Neurospora crassa OR74A: one gene and its partner. The protein of the gene in region 1 purifies or fractionates together with the protein of each later gene. This does not show direct contact. Links are inferred from orthologs where the notes say so. Each region holds a gene or a part of one and is shown on either strand. Other genes may lie near its edges.

Region 1 (4,855 bases):
AATGTTGAACCCGAGTGACCTCAAGTCCCCAGCGTGGAGTTGCGAAGTCCAAAGGCTCATCTCAGCTTGGTGGAGTATCCTCAGCAATGGAACGCGGGAGCAGGCCAATGCCCGTCAGCAGGTGGGGTCGGTAGCTGCTCGCCTAACTTTCAGCCGCCTCCATCTTCTTGCTGGGGGGCGAAACCCTGCATTTCCCAAATTCTTGGCGACGGATAAACTCTTTCTTTCCACGCTAAAAATTTCTCCGATAACAGAGGCAATAGAGGCTCAGTCAGGTTGTTGTTCACCACTCGCGTGCCGCCGACTGTTGAATTCAACCCATCCGTGTGTTCCTGGAAGGATTTACACAATCGAATAACAACAACTTTACGCAAAGATCCAAACCATCTTTCAGTTACCGGTAACTCACGTTACCAACAACCATTACAGTCAAAATGGGCAAGATCACCAAGTTCGGCGACGAGGGCGAGGAGGTTACCATGAAGGAGACCCCGACTTCTCACCAGCCGGAGGCTCAGGATGATGTCTCTATGGCCGATGCGGGCGAGGAAGGAGAGGAGGGAGATGAGGAGTATGAGGAGGGAGAGGGTACTAAAGTTAGACTTGTACGTGAAACCCTCCATGACGAATATATGTCGACTCGAGACTAACACCTGAGCACAGCTTCCTGGTTCTACGCCCACGGCCGCTTCTTTCGAGTTCCTTGATGAGAACCATACCCTTGGTAACGCGCTCAGATACGTCATCATGAAGAAGTGAGTACCGGGAGCTTCACTTGTCTCATGTTAATGAGCTGAGCTGTGACTGTGCTAACACCATTTCATAGCCCTGATGTCGAATTCTGCGCCTACGCCATTCCTCATCCCTCCGAAGCCAAAATGAACGTTAGAATTCAGACCTATGGTGCGTCATCTTTCTCGTCCACTTCTTAGCGAGACCTGTGAATACAGAGGTGAACTAACAGTAACATGCAGAGGGCACAACTGCTGTCGAGGCACTCCGCAAGGGTCTGCGTGACATTCAAGATCTTTGCGACGTCGTTTCGGATAAGTTCCTTGAGGCGCGCAAGGACTTTACTGATAAGAAGGCCGCTGCGTCTGCCTAAGCCTCTTGTTTCTCACCTTTCTTTTCATCGTTAATTTTCACCAGCATGGGTAACGGCGTTTTGGGGCTTGAATTGGTAGTAAATCACAAGGGGGAACAAAAAATAGACAAAGGAAAACTCGCTGTGAGTGGCCATCAAGATAAGGGGGGAAGATAAAAGAACAAGCGGCTGCGTCCATGGATGTTCATCTGGCTTGCGTTATATACATAGGCTCTAGAGGAAAGGCTGACATTGATACCCTTCGTTATTACTCTTCTTAGTTGCGACCCTAGATGAAAGAAGAGTATTGTGAGCTACCCGCACAATGAAGTGGCCATCATCAAAGACAAAAGAGCTGCATGTATAGGCTTACCTGCAGGAAGCCATCGATAAAGCTGGAGGGAAGTCTCTTGGCTCCACGGAAGCTCTCCTCGTTGAAGTACGACATCATGTGAGTCGTCTGGCGCCAAAAGTTCATGGTTTCCTGATAGACGCGTGGAGAGTCAGCGTCAAGTTACCAGAACAATCAGTCCGAATCGCCGCGACGCATAACATGCGCCAGCGCTCTGATATTCCCTTCTGACCCCTTGCCTGGAACCCTTTCCCTCTTCTTTTTGGGTGTTCTCCAGATTTTGGACATGACCCCACTGCTGTGCCCGTTTCTGGGGATCCCCTGATTCATGTCCGTGTGGATAGTGACGATGAAGTGGAGCCTTACTTGATAGTCGGCATGGCCCTTTGTGAGCAGAACATCCACCACGGGCAACTTGTTAACGAAGCGGTTGCGCTCGAATTCCTGCCTGATGCGAGTGCGAATGACCGAAATGGGGAGGGGTAGTGAGTACATAGACTGCATCTCGGGTGTCTGTTGTATGTGATATCCTGGTTAGCGAATCCTCGGTCGGGATTGTTCGCACTCCTCCCATTATATACGTCGATATCCAACGTGTTCGTCGAAAGCTGGAAATGCTCGTTCTATGTAGGTTCGCTCGTAACGTACCGAACGAAGCCATCGCCGATAAAGGGCGAACACCCTCCGCTTGGCGTCGCTCCAGTTTGCCGCTACAATGTCCGTCAGAGTTACTCGTTCAGCTTGTACAACTGGGGTCACTTACACTGCCTGGTGGTGATGGCGTACTTGGTAGGTGTGATGGGCATTTTGGGCCAATTCGTGACTTGAGGACCTTTGGAGGTTGTCGCCGTTCCGTTCGCCAGGGTCGGTCGATTCGTCGTTCGCATGACAGCTTGTAGCTTCAGCAGTCGGCTCGGGGTCGGTAGCATCCAGCTAAGCCACAGTTGCTCTTACACACAGAGTGCGGGCGCTGATAGCACTAGCCACAACTACAAGAGGCCAATGACGTTGGCGCCACAATTCCAAGGCGTTTCTGGCAGGCAATTTTGAGCCAGTTCACTGCACTTACGCCGGGGATCACAGCACTCTCCTCTGGTCAGCTCATTAGATTTGAAGTTCTCCATCCTTCAACCGAACAATTGCGATATCACCACACACTCCGATACTCTTCCGAGTATATACGTTAGCGCAACGCAAAACACGTTACTTAAAGCACCGCTTACTAAATCCCGAGGCCGAGGACCAGCGACGACCTCAAAATGCCAGCCATTCGCCCCGCCTCGAAGCGCAAGCCGCCCCCAGAGGGTTTTGCCGACATTGAGGAGGATCTGCTCATCTTCGCCAACAAGATGAAGGACGCACAGAACGCCCCGACGGACAACATACCCAAGCACCAGGCCAAATGGCCTATCTTCCAGATCTCGCACCAGCGGAGCCGGTACATCTATGAGCTCTACTACGAAAAAGAGGCCATCAGCAAGCAGCTGTACGAGTGGCTGCTCAAGAATGGATACGCGGACGCGATGCTGATCGCCAAGTGGAAGAAGAACGGCTACGAGAAGCTCTGCTGCCTGCGCTGCATACAGACCAAGGAGACCAACTTCAACTCGACGTGCATCTGCCGCGTGCCCAAGGCCGAGCTGAAGGAGGGCCAGGATGTGCAGTGCGTGAGCTGTGGGTGCAGAGGGTGTGCTACTGGTGATTGAAGAGGAGGAGGCACGGATTTGAGGTTATAAAATTGAAAAGGGACGGCAGGGACAAGCAACTTTTTTCAAGGCTGAGATGTGGTGGAGAAACAATGAGAAGCCAGGGGCCGACGAACGGCTGTTCAGCGCCGCGATAATGATACCAACAACATCTCTTTGTCGAGCACGCATCGGGAGAGGGAAGAGGCGTTCACGGGGAGAGGGTAAGATAAGATGCTTTCTCCTTTGCAGAGCTATGTTTGACGCTTACTGTTGAGGGAGCAGATTGAACAAACATACGAACACGTTATGTCATGATATCATGGAATGTGAGGACCGTATCAGTATGTTCTCGCTACAGATGTGCAATAATATGTTTCAGCTGCCCAGTACTAATGGAATTGGTTTGCCCAAGCCTTACCACATCTCGTTTTTGCACTTCCTCTGTTGTCACCTTTTGGCGAATCCAGTCTTTCCTCCACGACCACGACCAAATCTGACACTGGAGGGTACGAACTGCAGTGCAGACATCTTGCCTACCAAGTCTCCCATATCCACGTCAGCCGGCTCCTCAACGGCCTCCTCGTGCGGTTGGTCTGTCATCTCAGCATCGGGTTTCGTCGATGTTGGAGTGGGCTCGGGCCGATCTACTTCCATCCGCTCCTTCATTTCTGATGGAGGCTTTGACTTGGAGTTGACCTTTGGGTCGGAAGAGCTGGCATGTGTTTCCGCTGCCGATGGCTTGTGGACCCGTTTCTGTTTCGGCCGCCGTTCATCCAACAACATCGACTGCCGCCCGTCAATACCGTGCAGTGTCACCGCGAAGAAGAAATTCTTTGGGTACATGTGCTTATCAATGAGATGCATCCGTCGCTTTTGGGGGGTCATGCATTTCCTTTCGCAACCTTCCACGAAGCAGGAGTACTGGAACGTTCGTTAGTGGCAAGCCTGCCAAAATTGAATCGGCACTCGGCAAGGCCAAGGACACGCCAGGACCAGGAGGGGAAAGAGGAGAAGTTGGAGGGCAGGACATACCGTGTGTTCACCTTTGTCTCTTTTGACAGCCGTGAAGGAGTCATGATTCTCCTCGATGTGCAGCCCAAGTAGATGAGACGAGGGGAAGTTTTTACGGCACTCGAGGCACCGGTTGGTGTGGATGCTGTTGTAATGGGATTCGTACTCGGAGTATGTCAAAAACACCAGTGTGTCCTTGTGTGGCGGCAGCGAACATTTCATCTGCATCCTGGGTTGGCTGAGGCTTTCGGTGGGATCTAGCCCAGCGATCTTTGCAGCGGGTGGTGACCCGGAGGCATCGGCGCTGGTAGATCGGCTCGTTGTTGTCTCGGTGGTATCACCCAATTGCTGTTGGTTTGGATAAAGAGAGCTTGTCGTTGTTACTGTTTGTTGATAGGGCAGAGGGTCCTCCTCGGGTTCGCGTGACCGCTTCATGTTTGTGCCTTATCGGTATTCTTTTGGGTGTGTTGATGGACTAGATTTGCAATGACATTTATTTGTACCCGAATTCTGTTGGTCATGGGCTAGGTATACCGCTTGCTTCCTTTACCCTTTGTTTTGGATTTGATATTGAGGTCGGTTGTAGTGAATCAGACCAGCAACGTTGTCGTGGAACGATTCGATATTGTGGTTTCTCCAACCAACCCTACTCCTTGAGTTTGAGAACTTCGATGTTCTATCATCCGGTTTAGCCCTCTTTATCACTAGTGATATGTACGT
Region 2 (6,257 bases), on another chromosome or scaffold:
CGTCGTCCTCATCGCCTACCCCGTTCTGCTGCTTCTGGGGAAGACCAGACCCAGGTGGTGGGAACCAGAAGTCTGGGCCAAAGTTCACCTCGACGGCGCCACCGCGGAAAACACTTACGGCTGGGTAGTATCCGACAGTTCCGTCGTCGAGAGCTTCTCTGCCGGCATGTGCCCCTGACTGAGTACTTTGTTTTGATGCGGGTGGTAGGAAGGCGAAGAGGTCAGTCCAAGGCGTGCCCATGTCCTTTCCATTTTTGTAAATCTTGATGTACGAGTTCGGCAGCGTCCGTAGCGACGGCAATGGGTGATTTGGGTTCGGCGGTTCCGGCGAGTTTGAGCTTGCCGATGCTACCGGCGCGGGACTGAACAAGTCTTCCAGCTCCTTGGTTGTGTGGTAGTCAATCTTCTCAAAGTAAATGTGTTGTTTGAACCGAATGGGGATCCGGTCCCGGATGATGTTGGGTGCCTCGAGCGATGGTTCGTCGTCTGCCAAGTCGACCGCAGGGTTATAATGCCCCGTTACAATCTTCCTGTGTAAATGTTCCGAAGGCAGCTGGATCTCCAGCCCGATCACATCTCCTTCTTTGATCTCCTCGCCAGGCGGGAAGAAGTCTTTCGGCCGTGACATGTGCACCTTTTGTCCAGCCACGTCTCGAATACCATAACTGTAGCAATCGAACCCGACGGGGGCGTCGAGAGAAGCCTCACGCCGCGCCCAGCCCACGCGAACGTGCCCATGCGCCTTGGTATCACCTTCGGAACCTGGCTCGCGCAGGGTGCCTCGAGTGACCTTGCACTCCCAATACCACCTGCCCTCTCGCACGGCCACGTTGGCTCGTGACATACGGAAGCCCTTGTCGGTGGTGACATGACGACCCTGTCGGTCAAAGTATACGTGGGAGGCAGAGTCCTCGAAGGCCATGTGGGCAGCGTACGGCTCGGTCTCGGTCTGGCGATAGTAGAACATGGAAGGAAACGTTGGGTCGGCTATACAGTGAGTGTAATGGAACGCTCGCTTGTTGAAGACACTGTAGGAAAAAGGCAAATCAGAATATGCTCCGCATGAATGGAGAATGGCGAAGGAGCAAATATAGATAAGACATACTGTTCGGTTGCATCAAAGAATTCGATGGTCTCGCCCTCGGGCCCTTGAACCTCATGATGGCTGGTGAAGACGGGACCGCGCGCGGGCTCGAAATCAGTAAGTTTGGGCGGAGCGAGCTTATAGCGCGCGGGGAGCAATTCGTTGATCAAGGGCTCTTTGTGTTGCTGCTTCGGGTCTGGAGTTGCTCTAGAACTATCGGAACCGCCTGCTGCTGCCTTGGCCTCCCTCTTCTTGAAGGAGTCCTTCTTTGTTCTCTTTTCGCGGTTTAGAACGGCTGCTTGCTGGGTGTCTTCGGGTGCCTGTATTTGGACTCTTGGAGCGGCCTTGTTATCTGGGTTTAGGGGTGATGGAACTGCTGGACTGTGGTCGTCTTCGAGCGTGCGCTTCTGAGGGATCGTCGTGGCAGCTCCGGAAGGTGTTTGCTCCCTTCGGGGAGAGCCTACGTCGCTGGCCATATGTAGCTCGGCAGACGTCGTGCTAGCAGTAACGTTGACAAATATTTAACTAAGTGATTAGTTTTGCTTTCGCAAGCTGTCCTTGTCCTGAAGTCGACTTGTGTTTGGACTCGAACGGCGAGCACTCCAAGTCCAAAGTAGGTACCGACGGGAGCTCTTCTGATCGACGACAGCTTATGGATGCTAAGAATAATCTGAGAATTGCCCGATGGTGATCCTACGGGTAAATGCTTTGGTACTCGGAGAAGACGCGTACTTTTGGAGAGCGCAATTGGGTTAAAGAGTCCAGTTTCGGAGCGATTTGATGTTCTTTCTGGGGATTTCTGTAAAGAGTTGAGAAATGTAAGAGGAAAGAAAGACATGTGAACCAGAAATGGTGGATGGAAGCTTCATCCACTCGACCAACAGCAGCAGCGTGTCGCGACAAAAGGGCGGGGCATCCTTCTGTTAGTGGTTAACGGCAGGCAGGGGTCCCGGAGCTTGGCTCGCTTGTTAGTTACCACATGCATGGGACACAAAAATGCTAACAGCGCGGGAACCTGTTGCCTGCCGCAAAAAGGTCTTGAGGTTGGCTAGCGCTTGACAGTTGATACTGGGAAAGACGCCAAGGCAGTTGCGTCGCGGGTGATTCCATTGTTCGCCTTGACGCCAGCGCTTTGAATTTCTGGATTTCTTCCCCATCAACACAACAACATTTCAACACTTTCAATTCCAATTCCAAGACAACCCCAACCCCGAGTGTCCTCCCACCTACCGGAACGACTCCCGCATCACTACAACGCCCGACGAGTATCCATAACGGCCGAGCGACAAGATGCCCGTCGTCAAGGGAGGTGTGTGGACCAACATCGAGGATGAAATCCTCAAGGCGTCGGTCAGCAAGTACGGCCTGAACCAGTGGGCCCGCGTCTCGTCGCTGCTGGCCCGCAAGACGCCCAAGCAGTGCAAGGCAAGATGGAACGAATGGCTGGATCCCAGCATCAAGAAGATCGAATGGAGCAAGGAGGAGGATGAGAAGCTGCTGCACCTCGCCAAGCTGATGCCGACCCAATGGCGTACCATTGCCCCCATCGTTGGAAGAACCGCAAACCAGTGCCTGGAAAGATACCAAAGACTTCTCGACGAAGCTGAGCAGAGGGAGGCGTCCGCTCTTGGGCTGACGGGCCCTGATGGAGGCGAAGCTCACGCGCCCAGCGCCGACGATGTTCGCAAACTACGTCCTGGCGAGGTCGACCCCGATCCGGAGACGAAACCCGCCCGTCCCGACACCATCGATCTCGATGAAGATGAGAAAGAAATGTTGAGCGAGGCTCGCGCGCGTCTGGCCAACACACAGGGTAAAAAGGCCAAGCGAAAGGCCCGTGAGCGACAGCAGGAGGAGTCACGCCGACTGGCCGCTCTCCAGAAGCGTCGCGAGTTGAAGACAGCCGGTATCAACATCAAGGTTACGACAAAGAAGCAGGGCCAGATGGACTACAATGCCGATATTCCATTCGAAAAGAAGCCTGTTCCCGGATTCTATGACACCACCGAGGAGATGTCTCGCAACGAGTACCAGCGCGCCCATTTCGACCCCAAGAAGCAGCAGGTTGGGAACAAGCGCAAGGGTGAAGAGGACGAGAGAGACGGCAAGAGGAGAAAGGGCGACAAGGACCCATCTGTGCAAGCCGCCCTCAAGGCCGGTCAACTGCAGAAGATGCGCGAGGCAGAACAGAGCAGCAAGCGGAGGGCTTTGGTCCTGCCAGCACCTCAGGTCGGCGAAGGCGAGTTGGAGGAAATTGTGAAGATGGGCATGATTGGCGAACGGGCAAATATGCTGGCTCGCGAAAGCGACAACGACGCAACTCGTGGCCTGATCAACAACTACTCGACACTCAACACCAATGCGCCAATCCGAACACCGATGGCCCCCGCTCAGGAAGACCACATCGCAAACGAGATCCGCAACATCCGAGCACTAACAGAGACGCAATCCTCGCTGCTCGGTGGAGAGAACACACCTCTACACCAGGGGGTGGGCTCTACCGGCTTCGAGTCGGTTGCGCCGCGGAAGCAGGTCATGTCAACCCCTAACCCCTTAGCCACCCCTTTGCGGGCAGCTGGAGCTGGTCCTGGCGCCACGCCCCTCCGCGTCGGCCAAACACCACTGCGCACTCCCCGTGATACATTTGCTCTCAATGATGCCGGTGACGAAATGTCCATGGTGGGCGGCACACCCCGAGATGTTAAGATGCGCGAGATGTCTATTCGGCACCAGCTCAAGCAAGGCCTCGCGTCTCTTCCCAAGCCCAAAGAGACCGAGTGGGAGCTCGAGCTGCCGGACGATCAGCAAGAGCCCAAGACCGCTGAGCAGCTGGAGGAGGATGCTGCTGAACGTGATCGACGAGAAAGGGAGATCAGGGAGGCGCGAGAGCTGTTGGAGCGCAAGAGACGTACCCAGGTCATGCAGCGGGATCTGCCTCGGCCTGTCCAAGTCGATTATCAGTCACTCTTGAAGGAAGCCTCGCAGGCCGAGGACCCTGTCAAGGTTCTCATCGCTCGTGAAGCGGCCTTGCTCGTAGCTCATGATGCCACCAAGTATCCTCTACCGGGAGCTCAGCCAACTGGCCGGGCACTGGAGATCCAGAAAATCGACGACGCCGCGTTGCAAGAGGCCAAGCTTCAGGTTCTGATGGAAATCAAGGATAAACCAAAGCCGGAAGAAGTTCAAGCGGTGTGGGAAAAGAGCAACAGCAGCTCCCTTTTGCTTGGGCTGGGATGCTATGAGGACGATGAAGAAGAAGAGCAGATTTCCACTATGCAAATTGCGCTTGAGGTATGTACAACTAACCCCTTTTCTGCCTCCTGCCTTCCGAAGGCTTACTGGCTAACCTAACCTGCAGGAGGTCATTGACCAAATCGTCGCCTCGGCAGAGAAGGGCAACAAGCTCGAGAAGAAGCTCAACCTGCATCTTGGCGGTTACAAGAATCGGGCTGAAATGCTGCGGAAGAAGATCAGTGAGGCTCACGAGGCGTTGGAGAAGGCGAACAACGCTCTGGGCGCTTTCAAGGTCCTCCAGTCCTCGGAGCAGGCCGCTATTCGGAACCGGCTGGCGGCGCTGCGTGAGGAGGTGGGCTTTGTGAGCACGAGGGAGAGAGAGGCGCAGGAGTTATACAGGAGGACGAGGGAAGAGCTGGATGCTTTGACGCTCAACGGGCCGAAGGCCAATGGGTTCCGCTGAATGATGTGTTGGAAGAGTGTGGTCAGGTTGTGAATAATTGAGTGTTGGTTAAACTCTGGCATGGCATGGTATGTCTGGCAACTGTCTGTGGAATGGCCACTGACGTCGAGCAGCTCAAAATAAGAAGCATTGAACATTATTATGTACTTGGAGGACGTCTCTCGATGCACCGTGTGAATATGTATAGTACGATGACCAACCTCCCTCTCAATATCAGTGAATTCTTCTCCTACGAGATTCTCACAACCCAGGGGCTTGGTAAGCGGGAGCCAAGGTGAACGCCAAATGCGAGTCATATCATATACACTGCAAAAAGCTTACCGGGGAGCGACGAAGCTTGTCTTCACTGGCAATCAGTCTGTACCGAGCTGTTCATTCAATCTCTCCTATCTCTCTCTCTGCTCTGTGTCTTTTTCTTCCCTCCCTCTTCTGGGAATGCATCCCTCCCTCTCCCTCTCTCTACCCTACACAAAACCAGACCAAAACAAAACAAAACAAAACAAAACAAAGACGCTCGCAGTAAATTTCCCCCAAAGCTAAGCCAAAATATGAAAAAAATTTTGCCATCCATCCCTCCAACGCCTTGCCTATATCTATCCCCTCTCTATCCTCTATTCTATCCTCTATCCCGTCCGCCCGTCTACCCTCATGAGCTTCGTTTTGCCAATCGGTCGTCGTCATCCTCTTCACTCTTCACTCTTCCTGAGTCCCCTCACTTGACGCAGGCGGAGGAGGTCTCATCGTAACCACCACCACCAGCAAAACACTAGCCACCACCATCCCAGCCAAAAAACAAGCAAAAATCAAGCGGCGTAAGAAAAGGCTGCGCGAGCGATGATGATGATGATGATGGGGTGAAGAAGTGGTCCGAGATGATGGGTGGTGGTGACCTGCGTCTGCTGAGGAATAAACCAACACGTCGTCGGCTGCTATAAGGGGAGTAGTCTCATCAGGCTTGGGCATGATGAACTGGTGCTGGGAGAAGAGATCCACGGCAGCGGCGGAGGTGGCGGCGGCGACGGCGTCTTGATCTTGTTCATGTTGCCGTTGTGGTTGTCCTTCATGCCGGCTACCACTAATGGTTGACGCATCATCGTCCTCGTCATCCTCCTCGTCATCGCTATCATCGGTTGACGTGGTATAAGACCCCGTAGTTGTAGATTCTTTCCGTCTTCGCCATGGTTGGGGAAGCGAGACGCTGTTCCGGACACCCTGAAACCGTGCAATCTGGCTGTAGTAGGATGAGTCAGGCGCTATGGACGAAGATGGGCCGAAAGATGGAAAGGGGCGGGTGTCGAGTGCTCCTGAGCGGACTGATGAGGCTTCGGCGTCGTCGTCTGTGAGCCATGAGGATGATGGTGGAGCTGGTGGTGCTGCTGCTGTAGGACTGTACATGCTGCCGGATTCGACGTCGCTGATTCGTCGGTCCCATCGACCTCGAGTTCGAGGACTGACGATGGACGAAGCCATAGATTC

Evidence for each region. Proteins that work in one complex are often made in the same cells at the same time.
Region 2: the proteins of NCU00417 (region 1) and NCU06994 purify together in Schizosaccharomyces pombe (affinity purification with mass spectrometry; 3 studies listed by BioGRID, with this or other methods). This does not show direct contact. The link is inferred for Neurospora crassa OR74A from reciprocal best matches to the Schizosaccharomyces pombe genes cwf14 and cdc5.

What each region holds. Positions count from the first base shown.
Region 1 is NC_026503.1:3,779,624-3,784,478, reverse strand, and holds NCU00417 (cell cycle control protein cwf14), read left to right. Parts: upstream 1-2,556; 5' UTR 2,557-2,695; coding exon 2,696-3,142; 3' UTR 3,143-3,465; exon of another isoform or gene 3,466-3,536; 3' UTR 3,537-3,560; downstream 3,561-4,855. Other genes in the region: NCU00419 (DNA-directed RNA polymerase I and III polypeptide), read left to right, coding at 435-605, 664-755, 827-903, 975-1,105; nuo14.8 (NADH:ubiquinone oxidoreductase 14.8kD subunit), read right to left, coding at 1,362-1,373, 1,458-1,568, 1,803-1,949, 2,085-2,146, 2,200-2,323; NCU00416 (C2H2 type zinc finger domain-containing protein), read right to left, coding at 3,572-4,045, 4,157-4,570. UniProt on the Schizosaccharomyces pombe protein: Involved in mRNA splicing where it associates with cdc5 and the other cwf proteins as part of the spliceosome.
Region 2 is NC_026504.1:4,814,635-4,820,891, forward strand, and holds NCU06994 (pre-mRNA-splicing factor cef-1), read left to right. Parts: upstream 1-2,211; 5' UTR 2,212-2,374; coding exon 2,375-4,375; intron 4,376-4,442; coding exon 4,443-4,781; 3' UTR 4,782-5,033; downstream 5,034-6,257. Other genes in the region: NCU06993 (Ash2-trithorax family protein), read right to left, coding at 1-1,028, 1,106-1,560; NCU06995 (hypothetical protein), read right to left, coding at 5,494-5,547, 5,694-6,257. UniProt on the Schizosaccharomyces pombe protein: Involved in mRNA splicing and cell cycle control.